Linked DNA regions of Callithrix jacchus. The protein of the gene in region 1 purifies or fractionates together with the protein of each later gene. This does not show direct contact. Links are inferred from orthologs where the notes say so. Each region holds a gene or a part of one and is shown in the gene's direction. Other genes may lie near its edges.

Region 1 (9,776 bases):
TCTCTGTATAGCACCATATTTCCATATTAGTTTTTTTTTTTTTTTTCTTGCTCTGTTGTCTAGGCTGGAGTGCAGTGGCACAATCGCAGCTCACTGCAACCTCCATCTCCCAGGTTCAAGCGATTCTCCTACCTTAGCCTCCCAAGAAGCAGGGACTACAGGCATGCACCACCATGCCTGGCTAATTTTTGTCATTATAGTAGAGATGAAGTTTCACCATGTTGGCCAGGCTGGTCTCGCACTCCTGACCTCAGATGATCCACCTGTCTCAGCCTCCCAAAGTGTTGAGATTACAGGAGTGAGCCTCTGCACTAGCCTCACATTAGGTTTTATTACTCATTTGCAAAGTACTGAGTCACAGAGCTTTCTTTTCAAGGGAAGCATTGATGAGGTTTCATCTAGAATTTGTCCTTACTGATCTTGTTTCTACTGCTCTGAGAAGTAATATGACTTGGTAGAAGCTTAGTGGACTGAATGATCTGGAAATTTGGATTGTGGGCCAATAGGAATAGTCATAGGATTATAAGTCACTTTTTACTAGAAATCTCAAACTGAAATAACTGTGACAAAATCAATTTTTTTTCTGCTCTGAATTTTATCTGATTTTAAATGAATCTTTATTTTAGCTGAGTTTAAAACTGTTATTAAATACAGTGGTTCCCCTTTATCCTCGGAGAATACATTCTAAGATCCCCCTGCTTGGATGCCTGAAACCAAGGATAGTGTCAAACTCTGGATATATCATCTTTTTTTGATCTGATAACTGAGAGGTCTTCTTAGTGACTAAGGGGTGGGTAGCATCTATGGTGTGGATACGGAGAAGCGTGGCTTGAGATTTCATCATGCTACTCAGAACAGCATGCAGTTTAAAACGTTCAAATTGTTTATTTCTGGAATTTTCTATTGAATATTTTTCGACCTTGGTTGACTGTGAGTAACAAGCTATGGAAAATGAAACCACGGATAAGGGGTGACTACTGTATATCAGAGACTTTTCTAAGACTAGTTGGATTACGCCCCAGCTTCTTAAATGCTCATAGTTTATTTTCCCTCACTGTAGTAAAGGAAATCTAAATAAAAATTGGGAAATTTAAATAAAACTGTCTTGAGATTCTATGCCTGTGGCAAATATTTTAGAAGAACAAGCCATGCTGTAAGAGTTGATAAAAGAGTATATTCTATGTTAATGTTGTTGTAACAGGGTGTGAATGTTATCTAAAATTGGGAAGAGAATTACCTAATTATGTAAAATGCATAATAAATCAGAGGAGAAACACTAAGTGCTTTTTAAAATTCCTTATGCAGCTTTTGGGGTACTGTTGTGGGAAATTGCTACCTATGGAATGTCACCATATCCAGGTATTGACCTGTCTCAGGTCTATGACCTACTAGAAAAAGGATATCGAATGGAACAGCCTGAGGGATGCCCCCCGAAAGTTTATGAACTTATGAGAGCATGTGAGTATTTTTGCATATTTTAATTTTGAAGCCATAAGCTAGCAGTTCAGAATAGTTAACAAAATTAGAAACTTTTCTCCTCTTAGTGCTGTTTGAGTGAATCCAGCCTCATGACATTTAAAGAGTTTATCATTGATCAGCCAGTTGTCATATCATATAGCATTGAGTCTTTCTGGAATCCCAAGAATAGTTTTTATTATGGCCCAAATATTGGCCCAGTTTCTCAGATACATTTGCATATTTAATAAGAGATTGAGTTTAGAGCTTAAGATGGGGAGGGCTGCTTTCAACTAGATAAAAGTGATTGCTAAAGACTATGAAGAACTGCGTACAAATACCTCTGTGTTGGATAAACAGAAGCATCTGATTGCTTGCAGATAAAAAAGTAGGGAAGTGAGTAGTGAATTAAATAGCAGTTGTTGTTTTTGTTTGCTTTGTTTTTTGTTGTTTTTGAAACAGAATCTTGCTTTGTTGCTCAGGGTGGGGTACAGTAATGTGATTTTTGACTCACTGCAACCTCCACCTCTTGGGTTAAAGTGATTCTCCTGCCTCAGCCCTTGAGTAGCTGGAACCACAGCCACACTCCACCATGCCCAGCTAATTGTTGTTGTTGTTGCCACCCCAACTGGAGAGAATGCAGTGTCGCAGTCTCTGCAACCTCCGCCCTCCAGGTTCAAGCAATTCTCCTGCGTCAGCCTCCCAAGTAGCTGGGATTACACGTGCCTGCCACCACACATGGCTAATTTTTGTATTTTTGGTAGTGATGGGGTTTCACCATGTTGGCCAGGTTGGTCTCAAACTCCTGACCTCAAGTGATTCGCCCACCTTAGCCTCCCAAAGTGCTAGGATTACAGGCTTGAGCCACCGCGCCCTGTTTAATCTTTGTATTTTTTTTTTTTTTTTTGAGACGGAGTTTCGCTCTTGTTACCCAGGCTGGAGTGCAATGGCGCGATCTCGGCTCACCGCAACCTCCGCCTCCTGGGTTCAGGCAATTCTCCTGCCTCAGCCTCCTGAGTAGCTGGGATTACAGGCATGCGCCACCGTGCCCAGCTAATTTTTTGCATTTTTAGTAGACGGGGTTTCACCATGTTGGCCAGGATGGTCTTGATCTGTTGACCTCGTGATCCACCCGCCTCGGCCTCTCAAAGTGCTGGGATTACAGGCTTGAGCCACCGCGCCCGGCCCATCTTTGTATTTTTAGTAGAGACAGGGTTTCACCATGTTGGCCGGGCTGGTCTTGAACTCCTGGCCTCAAGTGATCCACCTGCCTCAGTCTCCCAAAGTGCTGGGATTACAGGTGTGAGCCACCATGCCCAGCTTGAACTGCAGTTGTGTCTGAACATAAGTCTGTGTTCTTTTCTCACTGAACTTTGGCGTTCTCTGTTGTACTTTGTCAAAAGTGAACTTTGAGCTCCTCCTTTTTGATATCCTTTTATATTACTGAGTATGTACAGTTGATTATACGGTCAGGCTGAGTTTGAAGACAAACTTTTACTTCTTCCATTTTCAAATGGAAGAAAACTTGTCATTTTCTAAACCATCTTCCCGTCTCTCCTCATCCTTTAGTAGAAGGAATAGGAGCTGAGGCTAAATAGAAGCACCAGCCTTAGAAAGTGGGTTCATGGCCAGGTGTGATGCTCACACTTGTAATTCTAGCAATTTGGGAAGCCAAAGTGGGCAATTGCTTGAGCTCAGGAGTTCAAAAGTAGCCTGAGCAATGTGGCAAAATCCTGTCTATAAAAATACAAATATTAGCTGGGTGTGGTGTTGCACACCCATAGTCCCAGCAACTTGGGGAGCTGAGCCAAGAGGATTGCTTGAACCCAGGAGGTCCGTGCTGGAGTGCAGTGTTGCAATCTTGGCTCACTGCAATCTCCACCTCCCAGATTCAAGTGATTCTTGTGCTTGCCTCCTGAGTAGCTGGGATTTCAGGCACCCACCACCACGCCCAGCTAATTTTTGTATTTTTAGTAGAGATGGGGTTTTGCCATGTTGATGGTCTCAGACTCCTGGCCTTATGTGATCTGTCAACCTAGTGCTGGGATTATAGATGTGAGCCACCATGCCCGACTTTCTTGGATATATCGACATGGAAAGGAATTAAAGGTTAACTTTAACTTAATAAACGAGGATATCCAGATGTCCAATAAGCGTATGAAGTGAGCTGAGATCGTGCCACTGTGCTCCAGCCTGGGTGACAGAGCAAGACCCTGTCTCCAAGAAAAAGAAAAAAGGAATTTAGAAAGTGGGTTTATTGGTTGGGCACGGTGGCCTAGCCTGTAATCCCAGCACTTTGGGAGGCCAAGGTGGGTGGATCACCTGAGGTTGGGAGTTCAAGACCAGCCTGACCAACATGGAGAAAATTCAAAAAATTAGCCAGGTGTTGTGGCACATGCCTGTAATCCCAGCTACTCGGGAGGCTGAGGAAGGAGAATTGCTTGAACCCAGGAGGCAGAGGTTGCAGTGAGCTGAGATCTCCATTGCACTCCAGCCTGGAGCTCAAAGCAAAACTCCATCTCAAAAAAAAAAAAACAAAAAACAAAAAACAGTGGGTTCGTTATACCTCTGAGTCTAGAGCTGAGAAGTGGGTATGTTGTTATCATTGTGAACATGCCATAACATGTGTCTAATAAGTACACATCATGAGGCATGGAACTCATTATTAGACATACCACTGGATATTGAATTTCTGCAAGGAGTTTTTAATATTTTCTTCTTCCGTTATGTAGGCTGGAAGTGGAGCCCTGCCGATAGGCCCTCTTTTGCTGAAACACACCAAGCTTTTGAAACCATGTTCCATGACTCCAGCATTTCTGAAGGTGAGAATCTATAGAATTTACTGTTGGTGACTAGTTCTGGGTAGTGATGGTGATGATAATGGTAATTACATTTCGAAAATGATTAACTTCTGTAGTTTGGGACTCTGTTTTATGATACTGAACTAATTTTTGACCTTGGTTATTGCTGTGTTGCTTTTTTGCTATTTTCAGTGCATCTTTGTGTCTCATATATTTTAAATTGAAGTTGTATTTTAATTAGAAATTTATTCATCTTCCCTTTAACATTAGTAAGTTTGGTAGCTCATTAAGCATCAATATTTAGGATGTAGGAAAGAGAAAAGGAAAAAATAAGTAAAAAAAAATTCTAACTCCCTGAACTGCATCTACAAAGCAGAACCAAGTTGTAAAAACAATATTCAGACATTCCATTTTTGGAAATAGATCTTAAGGAAATAAGAATATGAACAAAGATTTAACTGTAAGGACATTGCATCAGAATGTAGTTTATAATAGTGAGAAATTATGAACAACTTAAATATCTAGTGGACTGCAAATTATTACATTCATATAGCTGAATATTTAAAATGATATTCTTAGAGAGATATATATATCTGAAGCATGAGATTACAGGCATGAGGAGCCTCATACCTGTAATCCTAATCCCAGCACTTCGGGAGGCTGAGGTGGGTAGATCACAAGGAGTTTGAGATCATCCTGGCCAACATGGTGAAACCCCATCTCTACTAAAAATAAAAAAAATAGCTCGGCATGGTGGCAGGTGCCTGTAATCCCAGCTACTCAGGAGGCTGACACAGGAGAATCGTTTGAACCCAGGAGGGAGAGGTTGCACTGAGCTGAGATCAAGCCATTGCACTCCAACCTGGGTGACAGATTGAGACTCTGTCTCAAAAAAAAAAAAAATCAAGCCAAAAAAATGAAAAATAATAACATCAAATTTTAGCAAGCATGCAGAGTAACCAGAGCTTTCATGCAAAATAGTATAGCCATTTAGGGACAGGTTGGCAGGACCTGAAAAACGTGAATGCTCATATACCTTGTGATCCACCAGTTCTCCTGTGTTTGTGCCAGTCTGATGTGCATAGCATTGTCTACCAAAAGACACATGGCAGGATGATGCTAGCAATGTATTGGTAGTAACCCCAAGCTAGAAACAACCTAAACATCTATCAAGAGGAGAACAGGTGGATTGTGGTATATTCACACATTGGCATACTACACAGAAGTGAGAACCCCTGCCACATGCAGCAGCGTGGACAAATCTACAGACATGATACTGGGCAAAAGAAGACAGAAGAGTACATATTTTATGATTCTGTGTATGTTTTTTAGTACTCTCTACTTGTCAGTTCCTTCTCAGCTGTGTGCCTTTTCTGAAAAGAGCTCCCTTTCTCTGTTATGAAATTGTTCTTTTTATCAGTCCCCTTGTCTTCCTGACAGAAGTAGCTGAGGAGCTTGGGAGAGCTGCCTCCTCGTCATCTGTTGTTCCATACCTGCCCCGGCTACCTATACTTCCTTCCAAGACTCGGACACTGAAGAAACAGGCAGAGAACAAGGAGAACATTGAAGGGGCACAAGATGATGCCACAGAAAACTCTGCTTCCAGTTTAGCACCAGGTATGGGTCTCTAGGCAGCTAGAATCAAAATAGAAACTACCTTGTTGAAAGAAGCGTGGGATATGAGGCTTTTCTGTCCACTTTCATGCCCATCGTCCCTGAGGAAAGCATGGAGTCTCTTTCACCCACCTGTGAAGTCCTTGGCTCCACACTGCCAGTGTTAGTTGTCCTGATCTGTCCATCCATCATACAACTCTCCCTCCAGTTTCATCTCCTTAACCCTGGGTTCCCAAGTAGGCATCATCTTTACAGGTCCATCAAAAACTTTGCTGAACCTCATAGAAGGGAACAGATTGCGCAGTGGTTTTTAAAGAAAGGATGAATGTTGAGGTGATAACCAGCAGGTTATCTCCCCCCATTTGTAACCCACATCACATTTGGAACACCAGTCACTGTGCAGTGATAATGTATTTATTTTTTGCCACTGAGTCCCGCCAACGCCTGACATTTGATAAATGCTGGCAAAACTCTTATAATGCAGCCTCGGTAACTCAACTACAATAGAGTCACTTCCTGTCTTTCACATTACTGATCGGCTGTTTCTCATCAGGGTTCCTCAGAGGTGCACAGGCCTCCAGTGGATCCCCAGCACTGCCTCGAAAGCAAAGAGACAAGTCACCCAGTAGCCTCTTGGAAGATGCCAAAGAGACATGCTTCACCAGGGATAGGAAAGGGGGCTTCTTCAGCTCCTTCATGAAAAAGAGAAATGCTCCCACACCCCCCAAACGCAGCAGCTCCTTCCGAGAAATGGAGAATCAGCCCCATAAGAAATACGAACTCACGGGTAACTTCTCATCTGTTGCTTCTCTACAGCATGCTGATGGGTTCTCTTTCACTCCTGCCCAGCAAGAGGCGAATCTGGTGCCACCCAAGTGCTATGGGGGGAGCTTTGCACAGAGGAACCTGTGTAATGACGACGGTGGTGGGGGTGGGGGCAGTGGCACTGCTGGGGGTGGGTGGTCTGGTATCACAGGCTTCTTTACACCACGCTTAATCAAAAAGACACTGGGCTTACGAGCAGGTAAACCCACAGCCAGTGATGACACTTCCAAGCCTTTTCCAAGGTCAAACTCTACATCTTCCATGTCCTCAGGGCTTCCAGAGCAGGATAGGATGGCAATGACCCTTCCCAGGAACTGCCAGAGGTCCAAACTCCAGCTGGAAAGGACAGTGTCCACCTCTTCTCAGCCAGAAGAGAATGTGGACAGGGCCAATGACATGCTTCTAAAAAAATCAGAGGAAGGTGCTGCTCCAACCAGGGAGAGACCAAAAGCCAAGTTACTGCCCAGAGGAGCCACAGCTCTTCCTCTTAGAACCCCCTCTGGGGATCTAGCCATTACAGAGAAGGACTCTCCAGGGATGGGAGTGGCTGGAGTGACAGCTGCCCCCAAGGGCAAAGAGAAGAATGGTGGGACACGACTTGGGATGGTTGGAGTCCCAGAGGATGGAGAGCAGCCCGGCTGGTCTTCTCCAGCCAAGGCTGCCCCTGTCCTCCCAACCACTCACAACCACAAAGTGCCAGTCCTTATCTCACCCACTCTGAAACACACTCCAGCTGATGTGCAGCTTATTGGCACAGACTCTCAGGGGAATAAATTCAAGCTCTTATCTGAGCATCAGGTTACATCCTCTGGAGACAAGGACCGACCCCGACGGGTAAAACCAAAGTGTGCCCCACCCCCACCACCAGTGATGAGACTACTGCAGCATTCATCCTTATGTTCAGACCCTACAGAAGAGCCGACTGCCCCGGCTGCAGGACAGTCCACATCAGAAACACAGGAAGGAGGAAAGAAGGCAGCTCCGGGCGCAGTGCCCATCAGTGGGAAAGCTGGGAGGCCAGTGGTGCCTCCACCTCAAGTGCCTCTGCCCACGTCTTCCATCTCGCCCGCCAAAATGGCCAACGGCACAGCAGGTACTAAAGTGGCCCTGAGAAAAACCAAACAGGCCGCTGAGAAAATCTCAGCAGACAAAATCAGCAAAGAGGCCCTGCTGGAATGTGCTGACCTACTGTCCAGTGCAATCACGGAACCTCTGCCCAACAGCCAGCTGGTAGACACTGGACACCAGCTGCTCGACTACTGCTCAGGCTACGTGGACTGCATCCCTCAAACTCGGAACAAATTTGCCTTCCGAGAGGCTGTGAGCAAACTGGAACTCAGCTTACAGGAGCTACAGGTGTCTTCAGCAGCTGCTGGTGTGCCCGGGGCAAACCCCGTCCTTAATAACTTATTGTCATGTGTACAGGAAATCAGTGATGTAGTACAGAGGTAGCCACTGTTAGGCTGGTGGGAAAATGCACACATTTCTGAGGGGAGAGGGAAAGGGACTTGTTTTCCTGTGTTCTTGTTTTCAAAAAATGACTCATACTTGAGTGTGTTTATGTGAAGTACCTCAGATCCCTGAGTTCTCACGTTTACAGTTTCATCTCAAAAATAAGAAGCTAACCACAAAAGTATAGGAGAGGTAAATTATTAAGTGGGGGCAAGGCAGTAGGAGACAGGGTTGGAAACTGCACTGGAAAATCAGGGAACATATGTATGTCATAAGGAAGGCAATGCAGCCCATCCCTACCTGGAATGCTGGGAGGTGCTAGGCAGGGCCGCTCTCAGCTATACCACAGCAACTGTGCCCAGACCTGGGACTCTGGTAGATACTCATGGTGATTATGCTCCAATTTACCTAATGAGTTTGGTGGGACAGAAGAAAGCTGGGAATGTATAAAGAGAAATTTTTGTTCAAGGCTGTCGGAAGTACCCCTAGCCTTGCTTTCACAAGGCCATTGCTGCTGTAATGAGAACTGCAAATCAGAGTGCTACAATACAGAGCTGGGAAATGTGGCACTATCTGAATGCCCCTGTCCGGTTTTCTGCTGGTGTATTGGTTGGTGCAGGAAATAAAGAATGCTGGAAAGTTGAGTCAGGGAGATTGAAAACCTTCTCCTATAAAATCTTCTATAGATTAGCAGAAGTCACTTCTCCCAGTCTGGTATATTATTTCATAATGGACGAGGATTGGCTTCCTGCTTGCTGGTGGCTATCTGTAAACCATGAGTACGGGGGTCTCCCTAGTAGTCTTTTGCTGGGCAACCTGTCTTCCTTTATTCCTGATAGCGTTCAGAGCATTAACCAATGTCGATTTTGAAAATAGTAGTCCCTGCAGGTTCTCACAAGGGAATGAATCCTGTTCTGATACAGTTCCCCTGCGTATTGACACACTGGCCAAGGACTTGAGCAGCTGTGTATTTTTCTTTATCAACTAAAATAGCAGGGAGATGGTCTTTTCTTGAAACCCAGTGGCCTGTGACTGAAAGGAAAAGCTGGTCCTAATGGCTGTTTCTCTGTACCTTTCCCTTCACTTACCACTGTAAGCCCAATCTAGGTAGAGAATAGGGAGCCGAATTCTCCTCTCTATGGATTTGAAGTGAGTAATTCCCCACATTATTTTCACATGCTTTTCTTCTAGCAGATAATCCTCCCTACTCCCCACCCAATCATTGTGCTTATTTGTACAGATCTTATTTGGAATATTTATTTATTTTGTCATTTCACTTGTATTTTAAGAATGCATAATTGAAGGAGTAGTCCTTTTCGGGGAGCACCAGTTAGACCCTGGAAACCTAATGACTTCATCCTTAAATATGTTTTGCCCTTGAAAAATAGACCTTTTCCTTCCCTACTTAGTTATAGTTGTGGAAGCTAATTAAGATGGCATGGAAGTGAATCTGATGAGTTAGGTATTATTAATGTTCTTGGTATTGAGTCTAATTTCAATTACTGCTTCGTTCTCTTTTTAAAGCTTTATGAATACTTCCCCCATCCTCCCCAAGGAGAGCCCAGTACACCTGTATTTTTATCTTATTCTCTCAAAGGAATAGTAGCTTAGGAAGACAGGAACTCAACA
Region 2 (9,876 bases), on another chromosome or scaffold:
GGGCTGTATGGTCCCTTGGAAAACAGAAATGGCTTGGGCTCAGTGGTGCACACCTCTAGTCCCAGCGCTTTGGGAGACCAAGGCAGGTAGATTGCTTGAGCCCAGGAGTTCATTTCAAGACCAGCTTGGGCAACATGGTGAAACCCATCTCTAGGTAAAAAGAATAAAAATAATCTAGGCATGGTGGGGCACACCGATAGTCCTGCTACTCTGAAGGCTGAGGCAAGAGAATTGCTTGAGCCTGGGAGGTTAAGGCTGCAGCGAGCTGTGATGGTGCCAGTGTACTTGAGCCTGCGTGAGGTTTGGCCTTTGAGGGCTTTCCGTCTCCCAGGGTGGTCCAAGCGGGTCCCCAGCTTTCCGTGGGCACCTTTGCTCACTTCCTACCCACCTCTTGAAAGTCCTGCCTGCCCCTGACCAGGGCTCATCTCAAACATTACCTCCTCTGTGAGGCCTCTCCTGGTCTTCCCCCAGTGCCTGGGGTGCCCACATTCCAGAGGGCACCGGCTGCCTCTGCCCCTCCCTAGACAGGGTTGGCTTATGCTTAGTCCAGGGCCTGCTGTGCCTTCATCTGTCCTGGCAGAGTTTAGTTCTCTTGCGCCCCTGAGGACATTCCTGCAGCAGCCACCTGGTGCTGGAGAGCAGGCCCAGGCAGGGAGGGAGGAATCTGGAAGGCCTGCGAATGAGAGGTGAAGGCATGGAGACATCAGGTAGGGAGCACTGGGGGAAGGGAGAAGTTGTCTCTGGAGGAACAAGCCCTGAATCTGTCTTTGGATGGGGGATGGGGTCAGTTGAGGGCTGGTGCTACAGGGTGAGATGGGATGGGCCTCAGCCAGCTGACCTCAAGACGAGACGAGGGCAATTAAGGGATGGCAGGCAACACTTGGTGTCCTCCATGGATTTGGTTCCAGGAGGACCCCGGGAACCAGGGTCTAAGAGGTAGAAGGTGGAACCTGAGCTCGGACCCAGGTCCTCAGCTCCCGCTCCATGCTGTCTGCTGCACCCCCACTCCCGAATGTCGGGTGGGTGACCCTGCCCCTGCCCTCATCACGTGCTGCCTCCACTGGGCTTCCTTGACCCCCACTACAGGCCCGTACATCGTGTATATGCTACAGGAGATCGACATCCTGGAGGACTGGACAGCTATCAAAAAGGTGGGGCTGCTGCTGCCCATGTCCCTTGCCCCACCTCAGGGCCCCCCCACCCTGGCAGCAGCTCTGCCATCTGCAGGCCTAGGAGTTCTCTGCTCACCAAGGCTCCCCTACCTTTAGCCCAGGGTCCCTGGATCGAAGTCGGCTCACAAGTCCTCTTGCTCGAGGTGGCCCTGGGAGAAGGGACTTGTAGTCTGTGTCAGCCCCTTCCTGTTCCAGGGCAGGTTTTGGTGGAGTGGGAGCGTGGTGGGAAGGCAGGAGAGCAGCTGAGCTGGCCAGTGGTCAAATGTATGGGAGCTCTGCCTGGGAGGGCCTATGCTCCCAGCCCTGGGGGTGTACTGAGGCAGCAACACGCATGCCACAGAAGTGGGGGGTGGGGACAGGGATTGCCAAGCTGGAGGTGGGCTCTCAGGGGGGCTTTTCTCACCCATCCAGGCTAGGGCAGCTGTGTCCCCTCAGAAGAGAAAATCGGATGGTAAGAACCATGGCTGTTGTACGGCCTCCCCTTCCCCCTCACCATCACCTTCCCTCAGCTCAGCCTCCAGGAGGGATCCCAGAGCGGCTGTGGCTGTCACAATCAGTGGCCCAAGACAGTTAAGATGATCTAGATTTGAGGGGTTTGCAGGAGTTTGAGGAGCAGGAACCAGGATGGGGTTGATGGAGCTTCCACTCAGGAGGAGTCAGGGAGGGCAGGGGAGCTGCTCAGGAGGCCTGTCCTGGGCCAGCCCAAAGCCGCTCCCCTCAGTAAGTGGCTACTTCCCTCCTTTTGGCTTCCTCAGTGGTGACAGTTTTCTCTTTCCTGCATATGCACAGGACCATGACCCTGCTGTTCACAGCCAGGGGACCCTCAGAGCCGCTGGCACGGCACCCAGGATTCTCATCTTCCTGCCACAGACAGGTGGACCCACAGGCCCCTCAGTGTCCACCCAGCCAGGCTCGTGGTGCTGCAGGGCCCTCCCCCCTCCCCGCCCCAGCTGGCACTGGACTCCTCTGCCCTCCTTGAGGCCTGCACAGCTGTGGCCGTGGAGCTGACCTGGCCAGTCAAAGCTGTTGTCTCCTGAGCCTCCTCCCACTCCTGAAGATCCACCTCTTAGGGCTCCCCTGACAGAAGACAGCTGAAGTCGAAGCCACATCCTCCTGCTGACCTTGGATGCAGGCAGGCTCCCCGGCCTCTAGGCCAGGAAGCCAGGCCCCACTGGCGGGAACTCTGAGTCAGACGTGGTGTCTGGAGGGCTGTCCACCCTGGCTGGAGCTGGAGGCAAGAAGCCAGGCCCCTAGGTTTTCTCAGGGCAGTTCTTGGTGTCTGCCTCCCAGATTTCAAGGACTGGAATTAAAACCTTTCCTGGAACTCTTGAGTGCCTTGTGTGTGCGTGTGATTTACCTTGCAAGAGAATCAGAGCTTCTGTGGGGAGCGCCTGAACCAGGCCGACTTCTGGGGTGCCAGTGACTCCTCACATTACCCAGCAGTGGCTGGAGCACTGTGCATAGGGCCAGGCTGGGGAGGCGGAGGTGGGGAGGTGGGCGCTGGGCACAGTTGGAAGCTGCTAGCGGAGCGCCTTGGGTAGGGAGGGTGGGTGCGTGTGCTTGGAGCCTGGGTCATGTCTGCACCTGTCCCAGTTGCCTGGCAGATTGGCAAGGCAGGCTGGCAGAGCCTGTGTGCGTGGGAGGCAGCCGACAGCAGCACCATGTGCTGGCGACCTCACAGCCAGACTCCCCCTGGTTAGCTCTGAGTGTCAGAACCACCCCCAGAACCTCAGTTAAGCAAAGAGGTTGGTTTCCATGGAGATGCAGCATCTTTTTTCCATGGCAACCTGAAATTCCAAAACCCAGGCTCAGGAATGAGTCATCGATGGACAGTAGAGGGTGCTCTCCCACAAGGCTGACCTGAGGCGGGGCAGATGAGCAACTGACCACAGACCCAGAGGTGCCCTAAGGGTGAAGGGAGTGGCTGGGGCCTGTGGAGACCCAGTCGGGCCTGCTTAACCGCTTCTCACCCATCTGCAATTTGAAGGGGAGGCTGCAGGAGGCCCTGTGTTGAGGTGGCACCCCCCAGCTGGGGCCATCAGAGTGGGGATAGCTAGCATGGAGGGGATCCCTGACCACTGAGCAGGGTCCAGAACAGAAGAGGCAGGCACTGGCCAGGCGGGGTGGACACACAAGAGTTAACTGGCGGGTGTGACAGGCGGACCGCCCTCAGGAAGTGTTACTCACTGGGGATGTGCGCGCCTTGCCTTCGGGCTGGATTCTCTTCCTGAAGCCGAAGGAGCTCCCAGCCATGGAAAGCCCTGGAGAGCCAGGCGCGGGCCTTCCTGGGGCCCCCAGCCCGTCCAGCTTCACTCCTGGACACCTGGAGAGAGAAAAGTTAGTGAAGTTGGCATGGCAGCCAGGTGGGACAGGGAGGGGCGGCAAGAGGAGAGCCTATCCCGGGACAGAGAAGGTGGGAAACCCGGGAGCAGGGAAGAGGTGAGTAAAGGTCCCAGCCCCCGGCCCCTGCTCAGATCTGGGTGCCTGCCCCCAGGCCAGCCCAGGATCCACTGTACGACGTACCCGATGCCAGCGGCAGGCAGGCAGGCGGGCCGCAACGGCCGGGGCGTGTTGTGAGCCTCCGGGAGCGCCTGCTGCTCACCCGGCCCGTGTGGCTACAGTTGCAAGCCAACGCGGCGGCTGCTCTGCACGTGCTAAGGACAGAGCCCCCGGGGGTGAGTCTTGCCTGACCTCCAGGGACTGGCCAGCCAGGGGTGGGAGGGAGAGGGGCCGGATGCCAAGGTCCTGAGCTGCCTGAACCCCATCCACTTGCAGACGTTCCTCGTGCGGAAATCGAACACTCGCCAGTGCCAGGCCCTGTGCATGCGGCTGCCCGAAGCCAGTGGCCCCTCCTTCGTCTCCAGCCACTACATCCTGGAGAGCCCTGGCGGTGAGGGGCTGACCTGGTGGGAAGGGTTGGAAGCAGGGAGGTTCCCCAGAGAAGCACCTCACTTCCCTCCTCTCTCAGGCATCTCCTTGGAGGGCTCAGAGCTCATGTTCCCGGACCTAGTCCAGCTCATCTGTGCCTACTGCCACACCCGGTGAGTCTGCCCACAGGGTGCCTGGTGTCCACGGGCCCTGCTCCTTGGGACAGCCCATCCTCCTCACCCCCTTCGGCCCAAGCATCCCTCACTCCCTTCTGCTCCCCTCTCTGGCCTCAGGGACATCCTTCTCCTCCCGCTCCAGCTCCCCACAGCCATCCAGCAGGCAGCCACCCACAAAGAGCTGGAGGCCATCTCCCATCTGGGCATTGGTAAGGGCTCCCTGCCACACATTGCACAGATGGACAAGCTGAGACTGAGGGAAAGGGAAGGCTCGCAGCACACAGCCCGAAGCCTTTCCTTGCTTAGGAGGCCTCCCCTAACCAACCCCAGAGGCCCCAGTTAGTTTCTTGTTCCCTAGAGTTCTGGAGCTCCTCCCTCAACATCAAGGCTCAGCGGGGCCCAGCTGGAGGCCCAGTGTTGCCCCAGTTGAAGGCCCGGTCCCCTCAAGAGCTGGACCAGGGCACCGGAGCCGCCCTGTGCTTCTTCAACCCCCTGTTCCCAGGGGACCTGGGGCCCACCAAGCGGGAGAAGTTCAAGAGAAGCTTCAAAGTGCGCGTGTCCACAGAGACCTCCAGCCCCCTGTCTCCACCTGCTGTGCCGCCTCCCCCTGTCCCCGTGCTGCCAGGGGCAGCCCCCAGCCAGGCAGAGCGGCTGCCCCCTTGCCAGCTGCTGCGGAGGGAGAGCTCAGTGGGGTATCGCGTGCCAGCAGGTGGTGGCCCTAGCCTTCCACCCCTGCCCTCCCTCCAGGAGGTGGACTGCGGCTCCCCCAGCAGCTCCGAGGAGGAGGGGGCAACAGGGTCCCAGGGGAGCCCAGCGACCTCACCCCACCTGGGCCGCCGGCGGCCTCTGCTTCGGTCCATGAGTGCCGCCTTCTGCTCCCTACTTGGGCCAGAGCGGCAGGTGGGCCGGGCTGCAGCGACACTGATACAGGACCGACACACAGCCGCCGGCCAGCTGGTGCAGGACCTACTGACCCAGGTGCGGGCCAGGCCTGAGCCTCAGGAGTTGCAGGGTGTCCGCCAGGCGCTGAGCCGGGCCCGGGCCATGCTGAGTGCAGAGCTGGGCCCTGAGAAGCTGCTGTCGCCTAAGAGGCTGGGTGAGGCTCCATCTCTCCATAGCTCCAGCACTGCCCCATCCGACCCTCTGCTCCCCTCCAGTGCCAGCCTGTCTGATTCTGTTCTGCTGCTTTACAAACCCACCGTCTTACCACTGTGCGGGAGAGTTCCACCCCCTCTCCCCCAACTCTCCCATCTCACCCAGTCTACCTCCTGCTTTCCTTGCCTCTCCTCCCCGATTCTACCCCTGCTCCCTTCTCTCCTGACCTCTGCCCCTACCTCCAGTCCTGCCCTGTTTCCCCTGACCCCTTCCTGCCCCTCCTCTGGCAGAGCATGTGCTGGAGAAGTCGCTGCATCGCTCTGTGCTCAAGCCTCTCCGGCCCATCCTGGCAGCCCGCCTGCGGCGCCGGCTTGCTGCAGACGGCTCCCTGGGACGCCTAGCTGAGGGCCTCCGCCTGGCCCGGGCACAGGGGCCTGGAGCCTTCGGGTCCCACCTGAGCCTGCCCTCCCCAGTAGAGATGGAGCAGGTGCGCCAGAAGCTGCTGCAGCTGCTCCGCACATACTCACCCAGTGCCCAGGTCAAGCGGCTTCTGCAGGCCTGCAAGCTGCTCTATACAGCTCTGAGGACCCAGGAGGGTATGTCCCTGCCACACCTCACCCTGCCCTGCCCCTCTGAGTCACAGGCGGGCCCCCCAGCGGCAGGTCCCCAGGACCCTGGAACAGCACTGTGGGGGAGAATGAGCCCACTCTCCTGTCTCACAAATGGTGAAACTGAGGCCCAGAGAGCAGCTTATCCTCTCCACAGCCCCTCTGTGGTTGCTAGGCCGGGGGGAGGGGTCACTGCCTAAAGCAAGGATTGCACCTGAAGCTTCTTCCTCTCACTGTGGCCCCACAGGGGAGGGCGCAGGTGCCGATGAGTTCCTGCCTTTGCTGAGCCTCGTCCTGGCCCACTGTGACCTTCCCGAGCTGCTGCTGGAGGCCGAGTACATGTCAGAGCTGCTGGAGCCCACACTGCTCACCGGAGAGGGTGAGGGACCCCCACCAACTTCCCTGTCTGGGTGGGCCCTGAATAAGCAGGGAAGTGGGGTGCCCCACTCCCAGCCTGAGCTGTGTTCTTCCACACTGTGTCCTAGGTGGCTACTACCTGACCAGCCTCTCTGCCAGCCTGGCCCTGCTGGGCGGCCTGGGCCAGGCCCACACCCTCCCACTGAGCCCCGTGCAGGAGCTGCGGCGCTCCCTCAGCCTCTGGGAGCAGCGCCACCTGCCTGCTACCCACTGCTTCCAGGTAACAGGCCCTCCACCGTGTCCTCAGAGCCAGACACCGTCCCCGCCCTTCACCTTCCTGTCCTTGGTGAAGAGTCCAGACTCTGTAGCCAGATCCTGGGTTCGAATTCTAGCTCTGCCACTGGGTTGTGGGAACTTGGACAAGTTATTTAACTACTTTGTGCCTCAGTTTTCTCATCAGTAAAATGGGGTAATAGGACCTACCTCCTGGGGTTGATGTGAAGATGAAATGAGTTAATGCAGGAGAGTGCTTGGGGCACAGACTACGTGCTATCAAAGCTTCGTCTCAGGCTCCTGAGCTCCCTGCTGGGCTGTCCTTGCACCTTCAGCTGTGGCCCACGAGCCCACCCCTGGAGCTCACAGGGCTTTTCCCACTTGGTTCTCCCACTGGATTTCTACCTCCCCATCTGTCCCCACACAGCCCACACTGGCCCCTCAGCTTTGGACCCAGATGCATGCCTGCCAGGACTGAGTACTTCCTTTCACTTCTCCTCCTGTATAGCACCTTCTCCGAGTAGCCTATCAGGACCCCAGCAGTGGCTGCACCTCCAAGACCCTGGCCGTGCCCCCAGAGGCCTCGGTTGCCACCCTAAACCAGCTCTGTGCCACCAAGTTCCGAGTGACCCAGCCCAACAATTTCGGCCTCTTCCTGCACAAGGACCAGGGCTACCACCGCCTGCCCCCGGGAGCCCTGGCCCACAGGCTGCCCACCACAGGCTACCTCATCTACCGCCGGGCAGAGTGGCCTGAGACCCAGGGGTCTGCAACAGAGGAGGAGGGCGGTGGGCAGTCAGAGGCAGGGAGCAGAGGGGAGGACCAGGGATGCCGGGGAGATGGGGACGCTGAGGTCAAAGCTAGCCCCAGGGACATTCGGGAAGAGCCTGAGACAACTGCTGAAGGGGGCCAGGGTTGGGCCCGGGGAGGGCCTGCTCAGCCAGGGGAGCCAGAGGCAGAGGGAAGCCGGGAAGCAGAGGAGTAACTTGAAGTGGCCAGAAGGGGTCACTGGCGGCGGGAGACCCAGAGCCTACTGAGAAGTCCTTTCAGTGCCAGTAGCCCCCTCGGGCTCCATCCTGTGTTTGCCATCAGCTTTGTCTGATACTTGTCTCTGGGGAATCTGGGGGAACTGCCACAACTGAGGAAATAGAATAAAGCTGAGGGGGCTTGGAGGACCCCCAGACTGTGTGCCCAAGGCCCCTTGCCTCTTGTTCTTCTACCAGCTGAGGGCGAGCCGGACTGCAATGGGGAGTGTGTCAAATGGGGACAAATCCAACCAACCGATGGCCAACCCCCGACGTGGGGAGGGTGGTGGTCTCGGCTCCTTTCACCCCTGCCCCGATGTGCGCAGCTCAGGCCGGGCTCTACCCAAGCAGCCCCCACCAAGCTGGAACTTCTGGGCCCTGAAAGGTTCCAACTCCTCCTGGGCGTCAGGAGGATTTAGAGAAGCCGCAGAACAGCAGCAAAGGCTTGAGGCCCATCCCTGCCCTTGACACTAAAGGACCTGCACTGTGAGCCTCAGTCTCATCTGTAAATCGGGGACACTACTGCTGCCCTGCCTGGCTCCCAGAAGTGTTCCAGAAATCAAAATGTGTGATTTTGCTACAAGCGGAGCTCACTGCAGAAAGGGAGGGAAGGAGCTGGGCTGCTAACTCTCCTGGGGTCTGGTCCCTGCCAGACAGGGCTCCCACCTGCTCATGCCCAGTCCAGGAAGGCTATTCCCCTAGAAATCAGGCCCTGGGGAGAAAGTACCCAAGTTACAGTCTCTCCCCAAGACTGGAAGTCCTCCCAGGCCCTCCAGCATCTCTGGGAGATCCACTAGCCGGCAAATAAGCTTCCAGAATGGAGAGGGGCTAGGAAACCATGCTCTCTGCACAACACTCTTGGCCCTCACGAAAGCTTTATCTGGCCATGGCTTGTTGGGCCCACTGAGGTTCAGGAAAGTGACTCCCAGGATGTCACACAGCAGGTCCTTAATGGTTCCCCCACCCAAACCAGGGCATCAGGTTCCAACTCCACCTACAAAGGCTGGGGCAGCCCCCAAGGGAGCCCAGAGCAGGCGGCAAATCTGAACAAGGAAAAAGTGCCGACGACCAACCACCAGGGGGCGTGCACGGCCCAGGAAGCTGCTGAGAGGGTGACCACCCACCGAAGGACAAGGGCACCTCCAGGGCTGCAGCAGCGCGGCGGGGATGTGTGGAGGGGGGTCCCTGGCCATGCATTCAGGTGTCAGGCAACCTGGGGACAGCGTAGGGGCTGAGGTGTCAGGCCCTCAGGTCCCTTAGGATCTGGGTAAGGCCAGCCTCTCTGGGGCCATCCCCAGGAAGGAAGGAATTGTCTCCCCATGGAGGATGACCCCAGAGTCTCTCTCCTCGGGCACCGAGCACAAAGGGACATCGGTCCACATGTCAGACATGACAACTGGGTGGTGGAAATCGTGGACATTGGCTTTTTTTTTTTTCTTTTTTTTGAGATAGAGTTTTGCTCTGTCGCCTGGCTGGAGTACAGTGGTGCGATCTCGACTCACCGCAACCTCCACCTCCTGGTTCAAACGATTATACTGCCTCAGCCTCCTGAGTAGCTGGGACTACAGGTATGGGACACAACACCTGGCTAAGTTTTGTATTATTAGTAGAGAAGAGGGGGTTTCCTCATGTTGGCCAGGCTGATCTCGAACTCCTGACCTCAGGTGATCTGCCCACCTTGGCCTCTCAAAATGCTGGGATTATAGGCATGAGCCTCGAGCCTGGCCAGACATTGGCTTTCAGATGAGCAATCCAGACACAGTCCCGTTGCAGGGCTCCCAAATTTCTCACTAGGCCACTGGCAGCTCTTCCCTCCCCACTTCCACGCCCTCCCAAGCTCCTCACTGATAGGAGGTGTCCCCTTGGCTCTTCTGTCCGCCCTCCCTGTTTCGTCCCCTCCCCTGACCCCCTGCAGTGCCTCACATAGTCCAACGCTAAGCACAAACGCCGTAGGTGCTCAATAAATGCTGTCCACTGATTGGAGTTTGATAACCCGGAGTGAGGGACAGTGAGGCAGAAACCTGGGGAGTATAAGGAAGGGCTGGGTTCTGGGAATCAAACACAGGATGTGTCAAGCTCAGTCCCAGAGGAAGAACCTGGAATGTTTATAGAGGGTGCTCCGAGGATCCCAGGGGCCGGATGTACAGCTAGTCTCACGGGAATGAGGCTCTGGGGCCTCTGCAAGCCCTTCCTACCCTTGTCAGGCTCAGCAGACTTGACCATCCCCCTTCCCACCCTCCCCAGTGATGGAGCACCACAGGGGGCTACCACTGCCTGAGTCTTGTGGTTTTTCTTCTCAAGA

What was found.
Region 2: the proteins of ABL2 (region 1) and RIN1 purify together in Homo sapiens (co-immunoprecipitation; 3 studies listed by BioGRID and IntAct, counting the BioPlex papers as one, with this or other methods). This does not show direct contact. The link is inferred for Callithrix jacchus from reciprocal best matches to the Homo sapiens genes ABL2 and RIN1.

Annotation. Positions count from the first base shown.
Region 1 is NC_133519.1:24,169,806-24,179,581, forward strand, and holds part of ABL2 (tyrosine-protein kinase ABL2), read left to right. Parts: intron 1-1,305; coding exon 1,306-1,458; intron 1,459-4,187; coding exon 4,188-4,277; intron 4,278-5,696; coding exon 5,697-5,873; intron 5,874-6,423; coding exon 6,424-8,147; 3' UTR 8,148-9,776. UniProt on the Homo sapiens protein: Non-receptor tyrosine-protein kinase that plays an ABL1-overlapping role in key processes linked to cell growth and survival such as cytoskeleton remodeling in response to extracellular stimuli, cell motility and adhesion and receptor endocytosis.
Region 2 is NC_133511.1:123,409,304-123,419,179, reverse strand, and holds RIN1 (ras and Rab interactor 1), read left to right. Parts: upstream 1-3,388; 5' UTR 3,389-3,423; coding exon 3,424-3,509; intron 3,510-3,666; coding exon 3,667-3,847; intron 3,848-3,947; coding exon 3,948-4,062; intron 4,063-4,140; coding exon 4,141-4,213; intron 4,214-4,333; coding exon 4,334-4,425; intron 4,426-4,574; coding exon 4,575-5,312; intron 5,313-5,601; coding exon 5,602-5,907; intron 5,908-6,166; coding exon 6,167-6,298; intron 6,299-6,404; coding exon 6,405-6,556; intron 6,557-7,057; coding exon 7,058-7,534; 3' UTR 7,535-7,744; downstream 7,745-9,876. Other genes in the region: BRMS1 (breast cancer metastasis-suppressor 1), read left to right, coding at 1,087-1,151, 1,584-1,623, 1,962-1,969. UniProt on the Homo sapiens protein: Ras effector protein, which may serve as an inhibitory modulator of neuronal plasticity in aversive memory formation. Can affect Ras signaling at different levels. First, by competing with RAF1 protein for binding to activated Ras.